Linked DNA regions of Alligator mississippiensis. The protein of the gene in region 2 purifies or fractionates together with the protein of the main gene of each other region. This does not show direct contact. Links are inferred from orthologs where the notes say so. Each region holds a gene or a part of one and is shown on either strand. Other genes may lie near its edges.

The links.
Region 1: the proteins of L3MBTL2 (region 2) and MGA purify together in Homo sapiens (affinity purification with mass spectrometry; 3 studies listed by BioGRID and IntAct, counting the BioPlex papers as one, with this or other methods). This does not show direct contact. The link is inferred for Alligator mississippiensis from reciprocal best matches to the Homo sapiens genes L3MBTL2 and MGA.
Region 3: the proteins of L3MBTL2 (region 2) and LIN54 purify together in Homo sapiens (affinity purification with mass spectrometry; 3 studies listed by BioGRID and IntAct, counting the BioPlex papers as one, with this or other methods). This does not show direct contact. The link is inferred for Alligator mississippiensis from reciprocal best matches to the Homo sapiens genes L3MBTL2 and LIN54.

What each region holds. Positions count from the first base shown.
Region 1 is NC_081825.1:239,075,227-239,082,888, forward strand, and holds the start of MGA (MAX gene-associated protein), read right to left. Parts: upstream 3,150-7,662; 5' UTR 2,645-3,149; intron 1-2,644. UniProt on the Homo sapiens protein: Functions as a dual-specificity transcription factor, regulating the expression of both MAX-network and T-box family target genes. Functions as a repressor or an activator.
Region 2 is NC_081827.1:97,502,356-97,510,397, forward strand, and holds the start of L3MBTL2 (lethal(3)malignant brain tumor-like protein 2), read right to left. Parts: upstream 3,165-8,042; 5' UTR 3,064-3,164; coding exon of another isoform or gene 3,034-3,063; intron 1,550-3,033; 5' UTR 1,525-1,549; coding exon 1,465-1,524; intron 1-1,464. UniProt on the Homo sapiens protein: Putative Polycomb group (PcG) protein. PcG proteins maintain the transcriptionally repressive state of genes, probably via a modification of chromatin, rendering it heritably changed in its expressibility.
Region 3 is NC_081825.1:146,548,827-146,557,112, reverse strand, and holds the start of LIN54 (protein lin-54 homolog), read left to right. Parts: upstream 1-4,897; 5' UTR 4,898-5,626; intron 5,627-8,286. Other genes in the region: COPS4 (COP9 signalosome complex subunit 4), read right to left, coding at 4,249-4,340. UniProt on the Homo sapiens protein: Component of the DREAM complex, a multiprotein complex that can both act as a transcription activator or repressor depending on the context. In G0 phase, the complex binds to more than 800 promoters and is required for repression of E2F target genes.

The DNA.
Region 1 (7,662 bases), on a different chromosome or scaffold from region 2:
GGATGAACAGAGCACAGACCTGACACACGTGTTCAAAAGTGTGAGACCAGACTTGGGGAGCCATGAGGCAGCCTCCCACTTTCTAAAAGATAAATACATCAAGGTGTGGCAGGAAAGTGAAAAGGGAAATTGCTCAAAGAGAGCAAAGTTGATAAGGGCTGAGAGGGCTTCCAGGGGATCATGCTACCTGGAACGGGAGTCTGTTACAGAGATTAACAGAAAAATAGCTCACTGGTATTGAGGACCAAGTAACCATTCAACAAACTGTTGCTGTAGAGTAATAAACTCAAGCCCACTCAAAAAACCCTCCCCCCCCCCACCAAAAAAAAGGCTTTGGTAGGCTCTCTCTCTACCACTCCTTAGCTGATGGGAAGAGAGACTATACCTTGTTAGTGTGATTGGAAAAAAACCTGGAAAAGCAGTCTTTTCATGAAAGCCCTAAGCTGGTGTCAAGAGATGAGAACTGTACTTTCTTCTTCCTCATCATCATCACTGATTTATTCCTTTTAATTTCAGAGCAGTCATTTCCACATCTGTGTTTCTCCTTCTATTAAACAGAGATAATGAGGTGTAGTGTTTGCAAAGCACTTGCAGATCACTAGATGGAAGGCTTTCAGGAAGGGTAAAGAATTACTCTTGAAAGATGTGTCAGATTAGGACACCGTTCCAACATAGGACAGTTTAATTCAGCTCTCCCCTGTTGCTCTACTCCTCACCTCCAAAATTGGCTTTTTTGGAGGTAGGGGTTCTTGCGATGGACAGCAGATTCTTTTCTACCAGAAACACTTCATTTATTTTCTCCTTGTCTAGCCCTCACTTTCTGATCTTCTCTGTTCCTTTTCCTTGCTGTTTTTGGGTGTTCCTCTTTTTATTTTCTTCATTTTCCTTAATTCATTTCCATACATTTCCTTCCAAAGCTCAACTCAGAAAAAATGAACATGATTCTAAGGGTTGGACTACCCAGAAAATTCACAATCACAGGAACATGATAGTTCAAGACAATGAGGGGCCAACTTTTTTGGCAGGGCTACCACAAATTAAGCCCTGTGCTCTCCTTATGTGCCATTCTGATCTCTTTTCCCCCTACTTGTGCTGCTGCTCTGCTTTAAGCTCCCTGCCCTATTGGCTGTGTGCTGCCTGCTCCCTCCTGATCTGGAGGGTGCCATACACAGAGGCTGCCCATGCCACGAACTGGCCACCTCTGGTCCAAGACATGCCACCCCCCACTCTTTGCTTATCCCTCAAAATTTTATGGATAGACTACACCTAATCATCACTTGTGACTTTTTTGTGACGTAACTTAATAAGAACATCCACCCCAAATACAGTTATAAAATTGACCCAAGAAAGAAAAAGTAGATAGAATCATTGGAAATGAGGGTGGAAAGAACCTCAGGAGGACATCTAGTCCAACCCTCTGGGGCTCAAAGCAGGACCATCCCCAATTAGATCATCCCAGCCAAGGCTTTGTCTAGCCAGGTCTTAAAATCCTTCAAGGATGGAGGTTCCACCACCTCTCTGGGTGACCTGTTTCAGTGTTTTACTACCCTCCTAGTGAGAAAATTCTTCCTAATATTTAACTTAAACTCTCCTTGCTACAACTTGAGACCATTGCTCCTTGTTCTGTCATCTGCCACCACTGAGAACAATCTAGCTTTAGCCTCTTTCAAACCCCCCTTCAGGTAGTTGAAGGCTGCTATGAAATCCCCTCTCCATCATGGTTAAGAGTTAAGTATCTAGTCCTGTATGTGCAAGATTCATGGTTAAAAAAAAAAAAAACAACCTAAAAAAGAACAAGGTGCAGGTGATCCTAGTACAGTCTGTGCCAGCCCCTGAGTGCCTTCGAGGAGGCAAGAAAGCCTCCTTGTTGGACTTGCTTCCCGCTGACTAGGCACAAATCCTGCACAGAAGAGCTCTAGGTGCCACTGCGTGGGGAGGAGGGGGAATCCCCACCGACAACTACTGTTCCCAGATCCCTGCCCTTCCCCACGGCGAGGGAAAAGGAAGGGACAGGAGCAGGGCAGCAAGCTCCGGTGGAGCCGCCCCGCGTTGCCGGAGGCGGACCCACCCCCGCGCTGCTGCGTGGCGGCCACACCCCTGGCTCCAGCCTCTGCAAGGGAAGCAGCAGGGGGCGGCGAGAAAGCTGCTGGAACGGCGCCCAGGCGGGGCGGAGCCGCCGCACGAGCCGAGACCGAGGCCGAGGCCGTGTCGGGGAGCGCTGCCCGCGAGGCGCGTGAGGGCGGCCCCGGGCGCTCAGGCTCAAGCGAGGCTGCCAGTCCTGCCCGGTCGCCTACGCCGCGAAGCCCCGCGGCCCGGAGCGACTCCTGGCATAGCCACTTCCCGGGGTCGAGCCCACCCCCGCAATGCCCGGATACGGCGCCGCTCCAGCCCCTTGTCCGCCCCCGCCTGGGCGCCCGTCACGTGACCGCCGGCCCCCTGCTCGCGAGAGGAGAAGGCGGGGCAGGCCCGGCCCATCCCGTGGCCTCAAGCGCGGCGCGGGCAGGCTCCCGGCTGCGGTCACGTGTGATTGGGCCGCCGCGGTCACGTGACGCGCACACTGCACGGCGCCTCCTCGAATAAAACTTCAAAATGGGGGAGGAATGGGCTGGGCTGGGCTGGGCCGGGCCCCGCCGCCAGCACCTACCTGCTTCCCGCCGCCGGCTCCACGCGGCGCCGATCCGCCACGCGGCCCGCTCGCAGCGCTGGAGACCCTCGCGTGCTGCGCGCCGCCGCCCGCTCTCCTCATTGGCTGCCAGGTCCGTCACGTGGCCCGCCCCCGGGACCCCGCCCCCACACCGCGGGGTGCCGACGCGACGCAGCGGCCGGGCGGGAGGAAGCAGGCGGCGGTGACCGGCCGGCGGGCCGCGAGGCAAGGGGCTCCGGGCGCGCGGGCAGGCTGGCCTCGCGACGCCCTGGAGAGCGCGCTCCTGATTGGCTGTGCAGCTGCGTGACGTGCGTTCCGGCCCTCAGATTGGCCACGCCCTTCCTGCCCTTCCCCCGCCCTTCGCGCGAGGGAAACACGCTGTTCTCGAGTGGGCCGAGTAGGCGCGCGCTCCTCATTGGGTGGCTGCGGCTGCGCCTTCTCGCTCCCCCTCCCCCTCCCCATGAGCGTTGCGTGGGGGCGGCGAAGAAGTAGCACCGAAGCCTCTGACCCTCCTGTCCCGTCTGAAAGCGGCACAGCCCTCCCGCCGGGCAGGGGCACTGCGCACGCGCCGGCCGCCCATTGCCGGCCTGACACGGCCCCGCAGCACCTTTCCGCACTGAGCCCCCCCCCCCAGGCAAGAAGCCTCCTGCCATGCCAGAGCCGACAAGATGGCAGCCGTGGGGCAGACACCTGTACCCACTGACACAGCCACTTGCGTGTGTGGCGTCAGCACTCAAAAGGGCCTGTTTCATAAGAAGAATGAATAATCCAGAGAGGCCAGTGTCCAACAGCAAACCCTGGCGTGGCCCAAGCCACAGGCAGCCTCTCCACAAGCTGCACCAGCTCAGCAAGCAGAGGCGCCATTTGCATTGACTCTCTGGCATAAGTGTCCAGGGCGACATTTGTTCTCCGAGACAAAGAACTTCTTAAACACGGGCTGGTTCACGTATGACCAGTCACTTCCATGGAAGAATTGCGTGGATAGACCAGATACCCGTCATTGTGTCTTTTGAGCGTTTTAGCGGATTATTTTTGTAGCCAGAGAACTAAGTGGCAAAGGTTACAAGATACAGGATGAAAAAAAGAAGAAAATGCCCACTATATCCAACACAACCAATTAAATGAAGACTTCTTGGTATAAAGAATGCTTTAAGAAATGTCGGGTATCCACTAGCCATATTGATATAAAGGAAAAAGCAATCAGATTTCATGGTAGAGGTGATATCTTTTATTCGACCAACAAGATTTTTGCAAAAATTCTGTAACTGCAATTAAAGACAAATTTTGTGCAAAAATCTTGTTCGTCTAATAAAAGCTATCACCTCTACCATGAGCCCTGATTGCTTTTTAACCATTTCTTAGCATTTCATTGAAGATTACACCCAGCTTATGTTCGCATATAAGTGCGAGGAAGCTCAAAATTACTACTTACTAATAAATCCTGGCATTTTTTGAGCAAAAAATGTAATGGCAAAGTGATTATCATATGTCTAAAATGGAAATAAGACCAGTTTCATTATATTAATTAGCAATGTCTTTAGTTGTGAAACAGACCTACTGACAGGAAAACCTGGAGATAGGACAAGCTGTCTTCACCACTATTTGTCATTGCAGTCAATGGAAATCACTTTCAGACATCCAGGTGTTACATGGAAGGAAGAACACATGTTCAAATTTCTTAAAACGTGGGCATAATTAAGAAAGGGGTTTTCAATAAGGATATTTAGAAACTCATTTCTCTTTGCCTTTGTTTGACATATGTTGTTGTTGGGAGTCCTTCGATATGAGGATGAGAGTCTTCCAATAAATAGGGAAGCAATCAATGAGTCTGTAGGTGATTGAGGAAGCTGATCTGAGATCCACATGTTCACCTGTAGACATGGCAAATAGGTCTGAGAGGAAGGAGTATTCCTGGTGATGTCAGGTCACAGCTCTTTGCCTTTGTCTCTCTCATCCATCCACTTCCATAGCGTGGCAAGTTTGCTTAAAATGATTGATGCCTTGTACATCGCAGTGACACTGGTGACAGTTTAGTACTTGAGTCCCCAGGGTGTTGATGTTAATATAGCATTTCTTCAGATTAGCTTTTACAGGGTCTTTAGATGCATCTACACAAGATGCTACATCACAGTTGTTACTGCGCATTTATTTAGTATTTATTAGCAAGTACTAAATAAATGCACAATAACTGGAGTTACTGCGCAGTAGCACCGGCAAAAATGTTTTAGGTGACACTACTGCACAGTAGACTAATAATACTGTGCAGTAGCGTATTAGTACTGTCTGTGCTGTCATGAATGACTGGTGCCTCCTGAGAGTGGGGGTACCATTTGTAGGTGGCAGCAGGGACTGCCCGCAGACACCGGCAGAGGTGTCAGTGGTAGCGAGTGGGGACCGCCCACAGATGCCGGTGGCAGTAGGGGGGAGGGGTGGCGAGTGGGAACTGCCCGCAGCTGCATTGGTTGCGAGTGGGGGGCAGGTGGCGAGTGGCAATCTGCCTCAGAAGCCATCGGCAGCTTTGGCGGCGGCCAGTCTTGGAGGGCACATGCCCCGTGTGCCCTCCCTACATATCACCTAGCTACTGCGCGGTCAGCATCTCATGTAGACATGCCCCTTGAATCACTTCTTTTGCCCACCTCTAAAGCAGTGACCATCGGTGAGTTGGGAGTATAATCCTTGTTTTGGGAGCCGGTTGTCAGGAATCCTTATAACATGTCCGGTCCAAGGGAGTTGGTGTTGCATAAATGTGGCTTAAATGCTGGCAGTGTTTGCATGAGCAGAACGCTGCCATTTGTTCTTCTGTTCTTCCAGCTGATATGGAGGATTTCCAAAGACATGGCTGATGGTAATGCTGTATAAAAAAAATTAATAAAATATGTAAAAAAGGGTAGAGTGCATTAAAAACCATGGAGAAAATTCCAGAGGTAACCAACATCACAAGTACAGCCTAATGCATGCTTGCATTAAAAGCCTTACAGTCTCATTTCAGCATTTTTGATAACTAATTGAAAAGATGGGTCTGTTTATATTGGAATACTATTATATTTAGATGATAAATTAAGGAAACTTTCTTGTTATGAAAAAACTACCATATCCTGAGCTAAATAAACTTAAATGCCAAATGATGCATTTTTCTATAGGCACCCAAACCTAAAACACCTATATACCTGCTTAACTCTATACCCATGAGGAATCTCATTGGCTTCAGCAGGACTACTCATGCATAAAGTTAAGTCTGTTTTTTAAGCATTTGCAGGTCAGAGACCATAGTTATTAGTCGATTAACGAGAAACAGATGCCTGTTATTCATGTACTATGATGTCTAATAATTACAGGCCATATCTTCAACACAAGAAAATATATAAGAATGATATATTCTATATTGTGAATTATATATTTATTTTTGTTCTTACAATATATATTTATACATAAAAATAGAATGCTGTATAGCAAGTAAGGAAAAAAGATTTAAAAATCTGCAAAATTCTAGTGGAAACAGAATTATGAGTAAGAAGCAACATGGTTTTATAACCAATAAATCATACCAGACAAACTCAATTCCTTTTCTAAGAATGAAGATCAATGGGCAAAGAGAATGCTATTTCTCTATCCTGATTTTAGTGAAACATTTTATCATCTTGCTAAATCTTACCTCAGCACTATTTCAAATTGGACTGGCCACAAGCAAGATCACATGGAATGAAAGCTAGCTAGAAAACATGAAAAGTGATGACAGAGGGTACTGAGTTCTAAGAAAGTGTCTGTGGTTCTGGGATAAATTTTCAAAAGTCACTATGACACAGTTGTGAAAGATATTTAGATGTTTGGCTTCAACCTTCCATTGAAATGAATGGGAGTCAGGGTTCTAATACCTTTGAGGAGCCTACCTTAGGAGCCTGAATCACAAATTTTCAAAGGTGACTTATGTACCTAGTGGTTGCTTTAAGAAAACTGGCCTTTAAATTCCATTTCACTCCCAATATGGGACTTTAGTACCTTTGAAAATTGAACGTTGGCTCCTAAATCACTGAGACGCTTTCAGAAAAAAATTCCGTAGCCTATACTATAAATACAGCTGGGTCAGGAAATATAGCTGTAACACGTTGCCTAAACTAGCTGTATGCGTTGTTTAAACATTTCGTATAGACTGGACCTTTACTGGGTTTAGCAATCAGGTTAACATCTTGGAGGCACCTCTGACTTCAGCCTGGTTAAAGAGCTTCAGAGGCTTTAGTCCAGACTGGGTGCATCTACACGTGTGCTTTACTGCAGTTATACTAATTAGCTCTGCAGTAAAGCATCACTATCTGGACGTGCACCGGTGTTAGAGCACAGTAAATAAGTTAACTCTGCGATAAGATAGTACTGTTGGGGACACTACTATTTCATAGTGCAGTTACTTGCTCTGCCAAAAGGCACATGTAGGTGGTGATGGGCTGGCTGGGGCATGGGGATGCTAAAGTGCAGGGGGCTGCCTGACACTTAGCCCCTCATTTTAGAACCCTCATACCCCAGCCAGCACTTCTGCCTCCCGATGCTGCCACCCAGAGCCTAGGGCTGACCCGCCATGTCCCTGCCAACTCTGCCCCAGCTCAAAGTGCTGCTGTCCCAGGCACACGTGGACGCTTTGCCTGGGAGCAGTATACTATGGTGCAAAGTGTGCCAGAGTTTATTTGTTTGCATTAATTGCATGTGTAGATGTACCTGCTGAGTGCTACATTTTTGGAGCTTTTAACTTTTCCTGTATTGCAAATTGGAGTCTTGTTTGTAACTAGGTTAAGAAAAAGATATCCAGATCTAACCAGTTCTTTGACACAACTGCATCTGTAGTATAAATGGAGCCTATTCCACAGGGAATAGATGTTAAACTCAATTTTATTTAACTCATATTTTATGTTATCAGGAAGAGCAGGGGAAATAGCATATTAATTACATTCACAGATTATGTTGAACTGGAAAGAGCTGCAAACCCCCAAAAGGACAGAAAAGTAGGCCTTACAAAAGCTAAAATTATTGGC
Region 2 (8,042 bases):
TCTCCATGGAGACCTCAGCCATGCCAGCAGAGCTGATGGGAATGTGGGACGGGGGCAGCTTGCTGCGGAGCCATGATTTGTAGCCTGCACGCTCTGTGCAGAGGCACACATCCAGGGGATCGTGGCTCTGCCCCAGCTCCTTGCAGCAGGCTACAGATCGCAGCTCCGCAGCAAGCTGCCCCCATCCCACGTTCCTGGCAGCAATGGAGCAGCCCCCTGTGCTGTCTGCCGCATACGCTGCTGGCGTGAGAGGTCTCCATAAAGACCGGTACAAGCCATCTGGGCAGGGGCAGCTGGGAAATGGAGTCCCTGGCTGATTGGATCCAGCCCACAGGCCGGACGTTCCCCATCCCTGCCTTATGCAGTAAAGCCTGGCCCTCAGGAGCAAGTCACTGGCTGTGGCAATCACAGGATACCAGGACCAGACCCTTGAGCCAGCACTAGCTTCCCTGGTAGGAAGAATTCCCACCAGCTCCACATTTCCTTAATGTTTTACCCCTCATACACATCTCTCCCAGACGAAAAGAAGATTCATAGTCACAGAAGGGCAACCACAGGAAAGACACTGGAAGCAGAGAGCAGGAGGCAGACCAATGGCTTATAGCTGCAGCAAAGTAGGTTTAGATTAAATATCAGGAAGAATTACTTCATTGTTAAAGCACTGAGGCAGTAAAATAGACTATCTAGGGAATTGTGGGATCTCCATCATTGGAGGTTTTCAAGAGTTTGGATAAGCATGAATCAGGAACAATCTAGAAATAGCTATGCCTATGCTCGTTATGGTTATTTCCCATGTTTCTGGGCTTCACTGGTTACTGCATGAAGCCAGGAAGGAATTTATTTCCCCACTTCTGTTGCTACTGCACCTGTTCAGGGAATTTTCTTTTTGCCTTCCTCACAAGCATAAGGAAGTGGCTGCAGCCAAGGCTTGGGATTTTGACTTGGGTGTACCAATGCTCCTACTGGGACTAATAAATAGTTGGAGGTTCCTCACTAGAGGGTCTTGCCCCTCCACACCAGGCCAGACCAATGATCACATTTGGGATCAGGAAGGAATTTTATCCCATGGCCTGACTGGCATGGGCTGGGGGAGTTCTGGCCTTCCTCTGTAGCAGGCGCGTGGCCCTCTTCCTAGGATCTCTTGAGCATGTTAACAACCCTTGCAACAGGACACTGGACCACCCTTGTTCCCCTGCGCTACCTGTGGCAGGTTAAGGTGCTGTGCATTGTGGTTGTGCAACAGGGTTGTGTACTTCTAGTAACAGGTTAGACAAGGATTTGTACCAGATGGTTTGGATAGGGCAGGGGGTTGGACTAGAAGACCTTCAGAGGTCCCATCCAGCCTTACTTTTCTATGATTCTGTGACCCAGGAGCAAGAAGCCAGAATGCCTGAAACCATCCTGAGTGGGGAGGGGTCAGTATGAATTCATAGGGAAGGAGAGAGACCACCCCTTTTCACTCACTTTCCTGTCCAGTGGTTGGTCTTCTTCACACCCACTAGAAAACATTTTTTGTGCTGTCATCAGGGTGGCCCAGCAGGGAGAGGAGCTGTCAGCACAAATGATCTATTTCAGTAACTAGCTGCTGCTCTCCATGCTATTTAACCCTCCCCAATACAGCTTGGGACACAGTGGATCAAAAAATGGCCTTGAAGCAAGGAGGTGCATTTTCTAACAAAGTAAAAGCTGTACACTCTATTACCATCACATTCCCTGGGCTGACTTTGGCTCAGGAGCTGCACTGGAAAACCAGACAACTTTCATTTTCAAGTATTAAATAAGTATCAGTCAAAGTCCTTTTCCCCCTGTGATTTCATCATGATCTATTTGTACAGCTATATCCATACAGCAAAGAGATGCAAGAGTACAGGGACAGCAAATCAGGGGATGCACAAAAGGCCTGTCTTTAAGATGGAGGGGAGAAGGAAGAGTGATTAGCTGTGCTTTGGACACAGATTAAGGAAGTTAGGAGATATGCTGTTGCCAAGAGCTCATGCACAGACACTGAGGCTCAGCAATGAGAGGGGCAAGGGAGAGAAGAGCAGAAGCACAGACATGCAGTCACAGGGAGAAAGGAGCTCACAGCAGCAGCAGCCAGCAAGGAAACATCACCACCAGTCAGCACTGCCAGCAGCCCTACTGCTCTGCACCCACGAGATCTCTCTCCTGTGCGGTGCTTGCAGTGGCATGAGATTTTCTTTAGCGCTGGTCATTGAGCCCGGGCATCTTTCTGCCGCCCAGAGGAGCAAGAGCAGAACAGCCACAGAACACAGGGCCTGCTGTGTGTTCAGATGAAAGCTGGATAGAAACCAGCTATGGAGCTGTCAAGCACTACCCTGGGAGCAGGTTGGCTCTTTCACATCAGGAGACTGGAGCTCTGCCTGCCTATCTGGCCCCAGGCATGGCACCAGAAGCTTTTCAGAGGTCCTGGACTTCAATCTCTTACCTAGCTGCCTAAGTTTAGGTCCCAGGACCTCCCTGCTACCCTTATCCACATGTTGGTGCCCACATGGACCCAAGAGACTGGGCAAAGATACAGTATGCAGGACCCTGGGCAAGATGTCTGACCCAGTAAGTGGCTGGTCTTATAGGATGGCCATTTTGATGGCATAAGTGTTACTTTGCACCACATTTATTGTGCAGTTTGCCCATCATCTGTGTCACACATGTAAAGGGGAGCAGGGGCCCCGTGCACGGATCCATCTCCTAGTGCCAGTTGTTTGCACCCAAGGCTCGTCCTGCGCAGCCCCAGGAGAGGGCTCCTGCCCCCCGCAGCCAGGACCTCCCAGACGCGGGGGAAGCCCAGGGCTCCCAAGGGCCTCGCTGGGCCTGTCGGGGAAGAACCCCGGGGGGGCGGGTTCCGCCGTGGCATTGTGACGCAGGGCTCCACGCTCCGCCCCCCCACGGGACCGTGGAATCTCCGCGGCAGCGATTGTGACGCAGGGCTCCACGCCCCGCCCCCCGGGGAGTCCCGCGCTCCTTCCAAGGGGGCCCGAGCCCATCCCCAGCCCCGGCCCCGTGGCCGCCCCTTACTTCGCCCTGCTCCTGCTCCGTGGCCGCCATCGCCGGGATCCTGCGCCCCGAGCGCTCCCCACCCTGCCAGGCCCGGCCCGCTGCACTCACATGGCGGGACCTCGGGCCCCCTTAGCTTTACTGTCCCCAATACATCGGGGCAGCTGGTTGGCCGCCGGCCCCCGCGCGCCCGCCAATCGCCAGGCAGATTGCTTTGCAAACGCCGACAGCGGAAGGAACGCTCAGTCTGGCCGCACAACATCCTGGGACTCGTAGTTTGCTTCCCTGCGCGGCGTGGGGGAGAGCGTCAAGGCTGCCCCGTGCCGCAGGCTGCTAGCTTCCGGGCTCTGGCCCCGCCCCCTCCAGCTCTTGCGGGGCCTGCGCGGTCGGCCACTGCTCCAGGCTGCAAGGTGCGGGCTTGAGCTGTGAGGCGGGGTGCGAGCACGGGGCGGCGCTAGGGAGCGCAGCACCTCCAGCCCTTAGAAGCCTGCAGACCATGAAGCCCCCCTCCCCTCCCTTCCCCTCACATGGGATGAGGGCCCTGGCGCCCCGGAGCAGTGGTTCTCAGCCGGCTTTGTACCAGGACCCACTTGTAAACATGCATGGCCAGGCCCGACCCAGCGCCCCTCACTCTGGACCCGCTGCCCCCCCACTGTGTAGGGTGGCTGGGGAGGGGGGCAAGTAGCCCCTTGCTGGCTGGATCTCTGCCAGCCTGCAAGGGAAAAAAATCCATGGTGTCCCATGTTTTTTTCTCCTTTGAAGGAGACTCCGTTTTTAAAGTCTGTTTGCAACCCTTTCTTGCAACCCGCTTTTGGGTTGTGACTGGTGGGTTGAGAAATGAGCCAAGCCCAGTCCTGCAGCCGTGGTGGTGTTCAGCAAAGCTGGAGAGACGAAGGGCCTGAGGCAAAGCCACCAGTGTGAGAGGCCCCGTGGGGCAGCTTACCTGTTTTCTCTTCTGTGCCCCCCCCCAAAAAAAACACCCTTTTCTTTTCTTTAAGAGGTTAGTGCTGCACAGGCCAGCACTATGGCTAGGAGTAGGAGGCAGCAGCAGCTAACTGCAGCCTGCAGGAAGACATCAAGTTAACTCCTTGAGCAGAGAGTCATCTTTAGTCTCAAGTCAGGCCAAAGGCAGAGCAGAGGTGTACTTTATATGCAAAGATGCAAGGCCTACCCCTTTTCTACTCAGAGCTTTCATGAAATCAAGCTCACTCCATCAGATACTATGACAGGACAGAAGAAAGCTATGTAGGAAGGAATGAGTGATTTGAATTCAAGAAGGGTATGCCTTATATCCCAACTAAGATGCAGCTATTTTAGACGCACACACACACAGATGTACACACATACAGAAGAAGGGACCTCCAGAGATCATTTAGGCCAACCCCTTGCCTGAGGCAGGATCATCTGTATCCAACTATCCCATACGATCCAAAATCTAAACTCCATATACACAAGACTACTGTCAGTCCTGACCCAACACCCTAACCAGCCCCAGGTAAAGCAGGGGAACCACAGCAGCGAACATCCCATTTTCATGAAATATCTATATATGCTTAAGGGCTCCTAGGTAGAGGGCCAGAGCCATGTCCCCTTCTTCAGCGATCCATCGCAGTCAAGGACAGCTGTCTTCCATTAATATCTCATCTGTGGGTCTGAAGATGGCCAATGCAGGATCAACAGACTGTCACAACTCAGGCATGTGTTTCTGCATGGGGTAGGTGGCTCCAGATTCTTGATTGTCTGTGATGCACTGTTTCTGCGACTCCCACTTTTCCATCTCCTGTTGTCATAAGGTTTCAAAGTATTGAGATTCTTGCAGCAAACTCTTCCTCCATTTGGGGAGGTCCTAGGCAATAGTTTCCCCATGAGCTGCTGCTAATGTTGCATTTTTTCCAAGTTGGCCTTGAGGACATCCTTCAAGCACTTTCTCTGCCCTCCTTTTGAGCATATGCCTTGACTGAGCTCAGAGAATAAAACTTGCTTTGGGAATTAAGTGTCAGACATCCAAATTATGTGGCTGGCCCAACAAAGTTTGTGTCAGATGATCATCACTTCAGTACTCATAGTATTTGCTTGCGAGAGGATGCCAGAAAATGTTGGTGCGGTCCATCTTCCCACTGGATTTGAAGGATCTTCTGCAGGCAGCATTGATTATATTTCTCCAATGACTTGAGGAGTCTCCTCTACATTGTCCACACAAGTCTCAGCTCTGTACAAAAAAGGTGGGGATCATAACTGATTGATAAACCATGAGCTTGGTTTTGGATCTGATGACACAGTCTTTGCACGCCTGTTTCCTTAAGTGCATCCAAAGGCTGCATTTGCACATTTGAGGTGATGTTGGATTTCTTTCATGTCAACCTCCTGTGACAAGAAATACAGGAGGTTGACATGAAAATGCTTCTGGGGTACAGGAAATACTCAACATTCTCAAGAGTTTCACCATGAATCTGAATTACTATTAAGAGCTTGTTGTTGGACGACCTTAGTCTTTTGAATGCTAAGCTTCAGTCCCACTTTCTTGTATGCCTCTGTAATGATGTTGACAATTGCCTGAAGGTCTGCTTCCGAGAGAGCGCAGACTATAGCATCAGCAGCATGCTGCAGCTTGAGGATTAAGCTCGATTGGTCTTGGTTTTGGCTCAGAGTTGTCTGGGATTAAAAACAGTTTACCATCCATTTGGTAGTTTAGCTCTACTCTGGCTGGAAGCTTGGTGGTAGTCAGATGTAGCATCATGACAAGGAATAAATCAAGAACAGTGTTGGAGTGATGATGCAGCCTTGCTTAACTCCCATCTTAACCTCAAGCAGTGATAGATCCGTTACTGAAAACCACTCATGTAGCGGGCAAAGAAGGGTGATGAATTTCAGTGGGATCTCAGAAGGATCCTCCATAGCACTTCTTGGTTGACAGAGCTGAAGGCTTTTGTGAGGTCAAAGAAGGCCATGTAGATAGGTTTATGTTGTTCCCAGCATTTTTCCTGCAGCTGGTGAGCTGTGAAGATCATATCAGTTGTGCTTTTTAATGCCCTAAATCCACACTGAGATTCCAGGAGGAGCTCTTCATCAAGTGGAAGGAAACAGTTCAGGAGGGTTCTTGCAATAAGCTTTCCTGTGGTGGATAGCAAGGTGATCCCTCTGTAGTTTCCATAGTCAGACCTGTCACCTTTCTTGTCATGATCATGGTAGTCCTAAGGTCACCTGGCACTTCATCTTAAAGATTTGGAATGGTGAGGAAGGCATGGAGCTGTGACGTGAGCGCCTCTCTGCCCCTGTCCCCCAACCCCTGCTTGAAGATTTCAGCAGGGATTCTATCAACTCCAGTGGCCTGCTTGATGAATTTCCTCACCTCATCAAGGGTTGGAGGGATTCCAAGATACTCTTTGACTGGGTGTTGTGGGATGGAGTGGAGAACACCTCTCATCAACAACAGTGTCTTAATTGAGGAGGTCTTCAAAATGCTCCTTCCAATGGGCACTGATGGCTCCCCATTCCTTGATCAGGTCTCTTCCAATCTTAGGTCTCAAAGGGTTTGGTCCTTGAGTGCTCAGACTGTAGATAGCTTTGGGTCACATTAAAAATAACCACGTATCTTGTGGATACCAGCAAGATGTTAAATCTCCTTTGCCTGGTGTTCCCACCATCTGTTCTTTGTATTGTAGGTACTCCTTTGGACCTCTGCCTTGCCTTGCTAGAGATTCAATTTATTTTGCTTGGAGGTTTTTTTCCGCCCCATAGATTTCATAGACATTAGGGCTGGAAGGGACCTCGGAAGATCAATCGAGTCCAGCCCCCTGCCCAGGGGCAGGAAGTCAGCTGAGGTCATAGGATCCCAGCAAGATAAGAATCCAAATTTCTCTTGAAGGTGTTCAATGTAAGTGTTTGAACCACTTCCGATGGCAGGCTAGTCCAGACCTTGGGGGCTCAGACAGTAAAGAAATTCTTCCTTATGTCCAGCCTGAAACGGTCTTGCAGTAGTTTATAACCGTTTGACCTCGTCATCCCTTGGGGCGCTCTGGTGAACAAACTTTCCCCCAGATACTGGTGGTCACCCCTGATAAACTTATAGGTGGCCATCAGATTACCCCCGAGCCTCCACTTTTCCAGGCTAAAGAGCCCCATACCTCTCAGCCTGTCATCGTAAGGTCTGTTTTCCTGACCTCTCATCATGCACGTGGCTTTCCTATGCACTCTCTCAAGCTTCTTCACATCCTGTTTGAATTGTGGAGCCCAAAACTGGACACAGTACTCCAGCTGCGGCCTCACCAAGGCTGAATATAAGGGGAGAATGACATCCCAGGATTTGCTTGAGAAGCATCTATGGATACAAGCCAGCGTTTTGGTCGCTTTACTAGCCGCAGCATCACATTGAAGCCTTATGTTCATCTTGTGGTCAATCATGACCCCCAAGTCTCACTGCCGAGCCTATAAGGATGCTGCAGGTTTTTCCTCCCAAGGTGAAGAACCTTGCATTTTTTCAATGTTAAACACCATCAGGTTCTCGTCCACCCATTTGCTGAGCCTGTCCAGGTCAGCCTGGATCGCCCTCCTGTCTTCAGGTGTGGATACTTTGCCCCAAAGTTTGGCATCATCGGCAAACTTGGCCAGTCCGCTTCTGACTCCAATGTCCACATCATTAAATGAAGATGTTGAACAATATGGGTCCAAGGACAGAGCCTTGGGGGATCCCCACTGGTCACAGGGCATCATGACGATTGACTTCCGTCAACCACCACCCTCTGGGTCTGACCACGGAGCCAATTTCCCAGCCAGCAGATTGTGGTGGACCCAAGGCCACAATTGGCCAGTTTCACCAAGAGGTGATCATGGGATGCCAGATCAAAGGCTTTTTTGAAGTCAAGATATAGGACAGCAATCTCTTCTCCCTTGTCCAAGTGATAGGTCACCTGGTTGTAGAAGGAAATGAGATTGGTCAAGCAAGACCTATCCACAACAAACCCATGCTGGCTATCCCTCAGGATGTTGGTGTTGGCCAGTCCATTAAGGACGGCCTCTTTAATAAACTTTTC
Region 3 (8,286 bases), on a different chromosome or scaffold from region 2:
AATCACTCCCTTCCCTTCCGCAGCCGTTTCTGTGGAAGAATCGGTATTTTCTGCACCTCCAAAGCAGATCCCAATTGGCCTCACTTACAGACGAGTACCTGTGGCTGGTTTACCAAGCGTGACAACTCTGCTCAAACACAGATAACTACTCTGGGTAGGCCATCTGAGCAGATTGGAAGATGGACGCACACCCAAGATCATGCTATACAGGGAACTGTTGGAGGGAACAGGAATAGCAGGATGTCGCAAGCGGGACTGGACACAGGCACCAGCAAACTGGGGACTTAGACATGGTAATTTTTTTATTGTTATCATCATCATCTCTGGTGAAGCGGGGCCCAATACTAAAAGTTTGCCTGGGGCTGCCAGGTGTCTAGATACGGTGCTGGTCCCAAGCTTTGCTACGAAGATACATGCAAGTGAGATATGAAGGCATTTGGAATTGATCCTGACCAGTAGGAAACCTTGGCAAGTGATGGGAACAAGTGGCATCGTTGTCTCCACCAGGGCATCAAAGTCCACAACAGAAATTGGCTCCAACAACTTGAAGAGAAAAGAGCCAGTAGGAAGCAAGCAGCTCCCGAACCACCCAACCATAACATATACATTTGTAACTGCTGCCACAGATCACACAAATCTCAGATTGGACTGTTCAGTCACGTGAGACACTGCAAACCAGCTACATCATAGGCTGCAATATCCACTGTCTGCCATAGACAAAAGGATGCCAAAGATGTAACCTGTGGAAAATAATAAAAATGACAGCAATAACAACAACAGTGTTTGCAGGCCAACATGTTCTAATATGGGTGCTTGAAGCCAGGTATTAAATTATAAATGATTTGCCTTCTGGAAATGCTGAACACCCACTTCAAATATTCCAATAGGTATAAACATTTGCATTAAAGTGTGTTCACATGCAGCTGGTTTTCTTCTGGGATAATAAAACTAGGAGGTTTCATTTATTTTCCTGCACAAATAGAAAACCCTCTTTTTGCAACACTTGACTTGCAAATGCTTCAAAGAAAGATTTTAATCCAGTATGCTTAGAGACACTTTGCTTAAATTATTTTAGTTAGTATTCCATTAAAAAAATAAAGCCGTCTTACTTTTGCAGGATAGGACACTCAGGTCATGCCAAGCTTTGATTGCTTTTGCAACCTTAGACATTTACTTCTATTTCAAAAGAGTTATAAAGTTTTGTAGTGTGTTGTCATGGTGGGGTCCTGCAGGAGGGACCTCGAGGAGATCACGGCCCTCGCTCCATGTCAAGGCCGGCCCAAGGCACCCTCTAATTCTCGCCTGCCACGTCTTTGATGTTTGTATATAGTTGGGAGGCTGCCTATGACTCCCTGGGCACAGCTACTCGGGACCTCTGTCCTTGTGTGTTCCTGGACCCCCCCTGGGGGTCTCCCGGTGTAATGGGTGCTCCCCAGGCACCCTAGCCTTATGGGCTACGCGTGGCTCCTACCACCCCTAATACCAACGCCTCAAGCCTCGCTGATGGGAAAGACGTTGTCCGGTCGCAATACACGCCTGCTTCCTCGGGTCCTCTCCTGTAATCTAGCCCACTCTTGGGCCTTCTCCATGTGTTTCTCTACTAGTGCCCCTTCCTGGGCTCTCTCTAATACAGTGCCCCTCACTGGGACTCTTGAGACCCACTCTGGGCCTTCTCTAAAAGTGTGGTCCTGCTCAGGGACCCTCTAGCGGGTCTCCGGTCCTTTAGGCCAACCGCACAGCTACCCTCTCTGATCCCGGCTCACCGCACTGCTATCCCCTTTCTCCGGGAACCACCGCAGCACCTTGCCTTTCTCTTGGGGCATCGTACTACTAACCCCCTTCTGTCGGGGTCCATCGCAGCACCCTGCCCCTGTCTGAGGGCTGTTGCCGCACTAGCCTACGGCCGTGCTCACTACGCCTGTCTTGGGCCCCTCAATAATACCGCCCCCTCTCCGGGGCTCGCTGTGCCCCTCTGGGCTCCTCACTAATACCGCCCCCTGTTTGGGGCTCTCTACACCCAGCCTGGGCTCTTAAAAATGCCCCTCCCTGGGGCTGGGGTCTATGCACCCCGCAAGTGACGCCCTTGCTGGCGTCTGCTGTGCCCGTCCTGGGCTTCCTAATATGGCACTCCCCCTCTTCAGGGCTCGCCATGCCCACCTTGGGCTTCTCAATAGTCCCCCCCTTTCTCGGGGACTCGCTGGGCCCACGCTGGGCTCCTCTAGAGTGCGCTCCCCCTTTCTGGGGCTCGCCACATCTACGCTAGGGCTTCCTAGCAGTGCCCCCTTCTGGGGCTCGTCATGCCCACACTGGGGCCTCTCAAAGCTGCCCCTCTCCGGGGCTGGGGTCTACGTACCCCGCACACAACCCAGGGTCTCTGTTCCCCACCTGCAACCCACTAGTTGCGCTCCTTGCCGCCAGTTGCGCCTTCACTGGCGCTGGGGTCCCCATACCACTGGGGTTCCCCCTTAAAGTACTGTGCCCTCACTCAGGCACTGGGGCCCCCACACTCCCATGGGGCCCTTTATGAGGACACTGTGCCCTCCTCAGGTGCTGGGGTCCCCACACTCTCTGGGGTCCCTATGAGGATAATGCACCCTCTTGGCCCTAGACTGCGCCCTAACTGGCGCTGGGGCACCCCACCCCTATGAGGCCTCCTCCAACCCTTACAGCCTCACCCAAACCTCCGGTTTAATATCAAAGCCGAACATAAACTCGAGCCTCCTGGCTATAACTCAAACATAAAGCCTCCTGGCTAAACCATGGTGCTCAAACCTCTCAGAGCTGCCATCCTTCTCTCAGCTAGAGCAGTTCCTACATTGCTCAGCTCCTAGCTCCAGGAGCTTCTGCCCCTCTGACTGCTAGCAGGGAACTGCCAGCCTGGCCTTAGCCCTGGGGTTTATAAGGGCCAGGCCCTGCCTCCTACAGGCAGCTGGCTCCCCTTAGTTGCCCCGGTAACCCGCAGCTGGCTCTTTAGGTCCTGCCAGGGTTCTCTCTCTCTCCCTGGCAGTTTCTCCTCTTTAGGAGCAGGAGCACCGAGGTGCCCTGCGACATGTGTCAAAAATAATTACTGCATTTCACGGTGGATAGGCCAACACACTGTAGGTTGACGCAAGGCTTTCCGATCTGAAAGGTAAGGATTTTCATAGGCACAGTGTATGAATTGGGGCTAGGCTTATCGCTCTACTGGCACAGCCCCATCCCCTGTGGTGCAGCCCATGGTGTCACTTGAGCCTGGCAATGCTCACAGGACAGGGGCTGGCCTGGGCTCACCACTCAGCTGGCACTGCCTCATCCCCTGTGAGTGGGGAGCCCAGCCACAGGGGATGGCCACCACAGCCAAGCGCAGCCCTGTCCCTGTCCTCATCCCCTGCAAACAGCACTGGGCTCATGGGATGGGGCTGCACCAGCCAAGCACCAAGCCTGGCCCTGTCTGCTGCAAGTGGCACTGCTGAATGCCAAGCCTGGCATATATCTCTAAATACATAAAAGATGCAATCTAAACACACAAATCCACATATGCACACAAATCCACACGCACATGCATGAATCATGATAGATAGATGCACATATAAATGCATATATATGTATAAATGTATATAGGATTTACATGCTGTCCTTCCCAACAGACTTTATCTTGCTATAGACTACTCTGAGCCTGTCTGTAAATAAGGGTGTAGGTTGTAGCTGTTGGTCTAAGGACATACCCAAAGAATTTTGTCTGCCTAAATCCCATGTATCTTATATTAGACCAACTCAAATAATTGGAAAAATTCTGCTTAACAAGCTTTCAGGCACAAACACCTTTTGTCAGGCTGAGGAAGTGCCTGCAGATGGTCTGTGCTCTTCCTGGATGGAGTGGTAAAGCAGCCATAGGCCACTCCATCCAGGAAGAACAGACTATCTGCAGATGCTTTGTCAGCCTGATGAAGGGTGTTTGTGCCTGAGTGCTAAGAAGAATTTGTCCAACTATTTGAGTTGGTCTAATAAAAGATACGGGATTTATCCAAAGAATCTTGTCTGCCTAGGCCTGTAGATACGGATTTCCATGCTCCCTTTGTCAGTGAACGCCATACCCGCGGGTACTCAAACATTACAGGGATGCTTATCTTCCGGACTAGCCCCCAGGGCATCATTTGCTGACACCACCGGCTACCTGACCAGGAGGGGGCCCACAGCACAAGACGCACCAAGGATCAAGCAAGCCACAGGAGAGGAGAGCGAGTACGTGCTTGCGTGAGAGAAACGCACCCACCGCCCTGAACCCACTGCCCGGTCGGGGGGGGGGGGGAATCGTCCCAGGACCGCGCCGGGCGCATGCGCAACCGCCTCCGCGCCCCCATCTCCGCGCGTAGCCTTGGCCTTTAGTCCGGAGCCGCCGGGCGCTATCAGGTCACGTGCCAGCGTGATGCCGTCATGAGCCCGGAAGCGGCCGGAGGTATTGGAAGCAAGAGCAGCAGTAGCAGCCACCGCCGGAAGGAAGCGTCCAGGCTTAAGGGAAGTGGGAGTGGGAGGGGGCAGGGGCTGCGCGTGCGCGCTGGTTGGGTGACGCGGGGCCGGTTGCCAGGGCGGCGCGGCTCAGTATTATGGGATGTGGCGGTGGAATGGCGCGGGGCGCGTGATTTTGAACAAACGCGGAGCCGGTCCCTGGTGCTGCCGCCGCACGGGGCAGGGGGGGCGCGGCGCGGCGCGGGCCGGGGGCGGGGCGGCCGCGCCCGCCTGGTGAGTGACAGCGCGGGAGGACCGTGGGGGACGCGCAGCGCGGGGGGGAGGGAGAACTCGGCCTACGTGCGCCGCCGACGCAGCCGCTTCCCGCCCGGCATTGGGCTGCAGGGGCCGGCCCGGGTCCTCCCTGCCCTGGGTCGAGCCCAGCTGCGGCTCCTGGAGGCGAGGCGGCTGCTGTCGGCCTCTCCGCGCCGCTCGTCCGCGGGCAGCGGCGTCGGGTCCCGCGCGCTGCACCGCTGTCACGTCCGTGCGGAGCTGGGGGGCGCTGCGGGCTGCTCTGGCTCCGTCGCTGCCGGGAGGTTGCTCTGGGCTCCCGCCAGGGCCGGTGCGAAGGGCGAGGAGAAGCCGCCCCGGCTCCGCCGTGCCGGGACACCCCCCGGCGGCTTCTCTCTTGCGCTCTCCGGACAGCGGGCGGTTGTGGGGACACTCACTCACTCACTCGCCCCAATTCTCTCCCTGCGACCCTCATCAAGGTCATGGGGGGGCGCGCGGGGGCTGTTGTGCCGCCGCCCGCTGTGGCGGGCTCCCTCTCCCCGCCCCCAGGCCCGGGGCGGGGCGGTGGCGGCGGTGACGAGGTGAAAATGGCGGATCTTTCGAAATCCAGTCCCGGGCCCTGACGGAGCAGCCGCTGCCCGGGACCCCTCACTGCAACCGAGAGTAACGGGCAGGAGGAGCCTGCGCCGGGCTGGGCCGTGGAACCGGGGTGCTAGCGGCCCAGGCTGGGCCACTACTTGTGTTGGGCCCAGTGCCTTGTACCCGTCGCCGCCTCTGGGGCAGGGGGCCTCTGCTTTGCCTCGGTGCAGGGTGGTTGCTGGCAGTGCCCTGCTCCCATTGAGCATTGGGTCTTTCAAGCCCTGTTCCGACTTGCCCCATCCCCTCCTGCTGCTCGTTGTCCTGCTGGCAGGTGAGTAAAGCTAAGCAGCGGCTTGTGTTGAAGCCTGCTGGATGGGTTGGTATTTTTATCAGAGGGCAGTCTTTTTTCTCTTCTTCTTGCCTTTGGAGGCTGGCTGTAGCTCTGCAGGGGTAACAGGCTTCAGAAGGAGAAGGAGGTAAAGTGAGTTTGCCATAGTGAGTAGGGGGCCCAGCTACATATACTGAATTACCCCCCCAAAAAAAACCCTGATGGGGATTGGGTGTATGGCTCCTCTTGAGTAGGAAGTATGGTGCTGGCAGGGACTGGCTATATTGCTTCCCTTGTGTAGGGAGCTGAGTGTATGCTGTTAATCCACAGCATCACAGGTGGCATTCTTGGGTTTTGTGCACATGGCACCTAGCCAGGTTTCAACTCTGTTTCCAGCGTGTGGCAAAGACTCGGCAGTGCTAAGCACCCATAATTCCCCATTGCCCAGCACTTTGCAGGATCAGGCTCCAAATTATAGCCCTAACAAAACAGGATAGCATGATTATAATGTACTTTGGTCTCATTGTATCTGTGCGTTACTCTGTGCTTCTGAAATGCGTTGGGTGTTATAATACACTTCTACTATACAGTAAAAGTGAGAGCTCATGTTGGCTCCGAGACCAAACTGTCAGATATTTATGTGACTTTCTGGAAAATATCTTTTGAATGAAAGCCTTTTACATGTCATTTTTTAAGGAAATTTTCCTTATAATGTCTAAAATGTCATACTTGGCATGGACTTTGCCCTTGGTGAAAGCAAGTTTTTTGTGTGTGTGTGTTTATTTTCAAACTGAATCCTTTCAATCTGGAATCCTTTGATACATGTGGATTTCTGACTGTTTGTTTTTCTTTCAAAGGTGGAACTCTTCCTTGAGCCTGCATATCTCTGCATGTGAAATAATACCTTTTTGTTTTGGGGCATCAGGAATGATGCAGTTTCATGAGGAATTGCACTTATAGGCCACGTGAAACAGCTGCTAGACAGTAGTCTGAACAGGAGGAAAACACTGAAATGCATGCTGCTTTCTCTTGTCATCTTACACATTGAGGGTTAAAACTTTCTGTCCAGGCTCAAGTAGTATTAGAGATGTTAAGTCTGTTGGTCTCTGTGATGTTCATAAGTACTGTTTAGGATACAATGAACTATTTGAGAGTTCAAATTCCTGCTGAACATGATACAGGAACTAGCAACAAGTGACTCTTATTAGGTAAATTGCTTAACATTACCAGAATGTGTTTACATGCTATAGTGATGAATGCATTCTATGAACCCATTAAGAATGGAATGGAACTGGGCGTTCAAGAATGGTGGGATGTTTGTTTGAATAATACATTAATTTTTTTAGGCTTTAATACTTTGCTCCATCAAAGTTATGTTTGACTACGTATATTACAGATGTCAGTATTTCCCCCCTCTATTTTCGATTCTTGCATTATAACAAATTTCAGTAACTTCCTCTCAACCCTTAAACATGTTTGTCGTACCAGCTTAGACTGATCAAAATTTTTCCTTATTAGTGGTTAATATCTGTTGCAGTTGAAATGGTGCTTGAAAATTCTACCAATCTTATTAGCCCAAGGGTAGACATGAAAGCTGGGAAAGAGAGAAACTCTTGGATTTGTACCTGGAGGATGTCCCTGGTTTCTGACAACAGACTCAGTCTTTTGCTCCAGTTCTTGGATTAGAATGTGACTTGCACTGTTTATGAAAGAGCTTCATCAAGCTATTTAATCTTTATCTGTTGAAGGATCATCTCAGAGTTAAATTCAGATCTCTTTGTAGCCCTTAACTCCTGGTTTTGTTTCAGGTGTGTGTGACTTTAGGGTGGTCACTTAACCTTTCCCTGCTGGAGTTAATGCATTTATTAGCTCTTCCCAAATATTAATACATTATACTGACAGGAACCATGTAAATATCTACAGAGAAGAACTTCTGGGGGTTGTTTTAATTTGTTTCAGCAGCCCATGAGAAACAGGAGAAGAGAATCTCTATTCTATTTCATTCCTACCCTTTGTTTTCTGGGAGGTCCTCATCTGAATAACTCAGTCTGTCTCAGCTGCTGTTGGTAGTTCTGCTCAGCAGCTGTGTGGAATTGATGGGATTCACTGCTGTCTACAGGGTTCTGAATACATCTTCAACATCCCCAAATATAAATCCTAGTCATTGGGCTATCAACTGTTCTGGCATGGCATTTCTAGTTCTGTTCTGAACCTGAAAGAACTTTCTGCTAAACTCCTTGTAAAAACTAATGCTACTGCCAAAAAGTTTTTGTTTCTTTTAATCGGTGCCTCCCTTCCTGTGAAAAAACTGTTTTGTTGGAAAATTTGTACTTGGCTCCAGAACAGTGATTCTCAACATTTTTTTTTTTTTAATGTTAAACTTGAGGCATCCCTTGATAACACTTGTGAATTGTGACACCCCATTTAAAAACCTAATTGGTTTATTACAGTGCTTACCTCCTTGCAAGAGATTTTAGGTAAATGGAATGCAGGGGTTCAATCTGCCTGTCCTTACCTGCTCACTTCCAGGCACCTGGAGCCTGTACCTGCCCTTATCTGCTGAGTTCTTTGCACCTTCTTATCTGCTCACACTTTTGATCCACCCTTCAAAGGATCTTGTGGTATACCGGAGTACCCTGGCATCCTGGTTGAGAATCACTGGG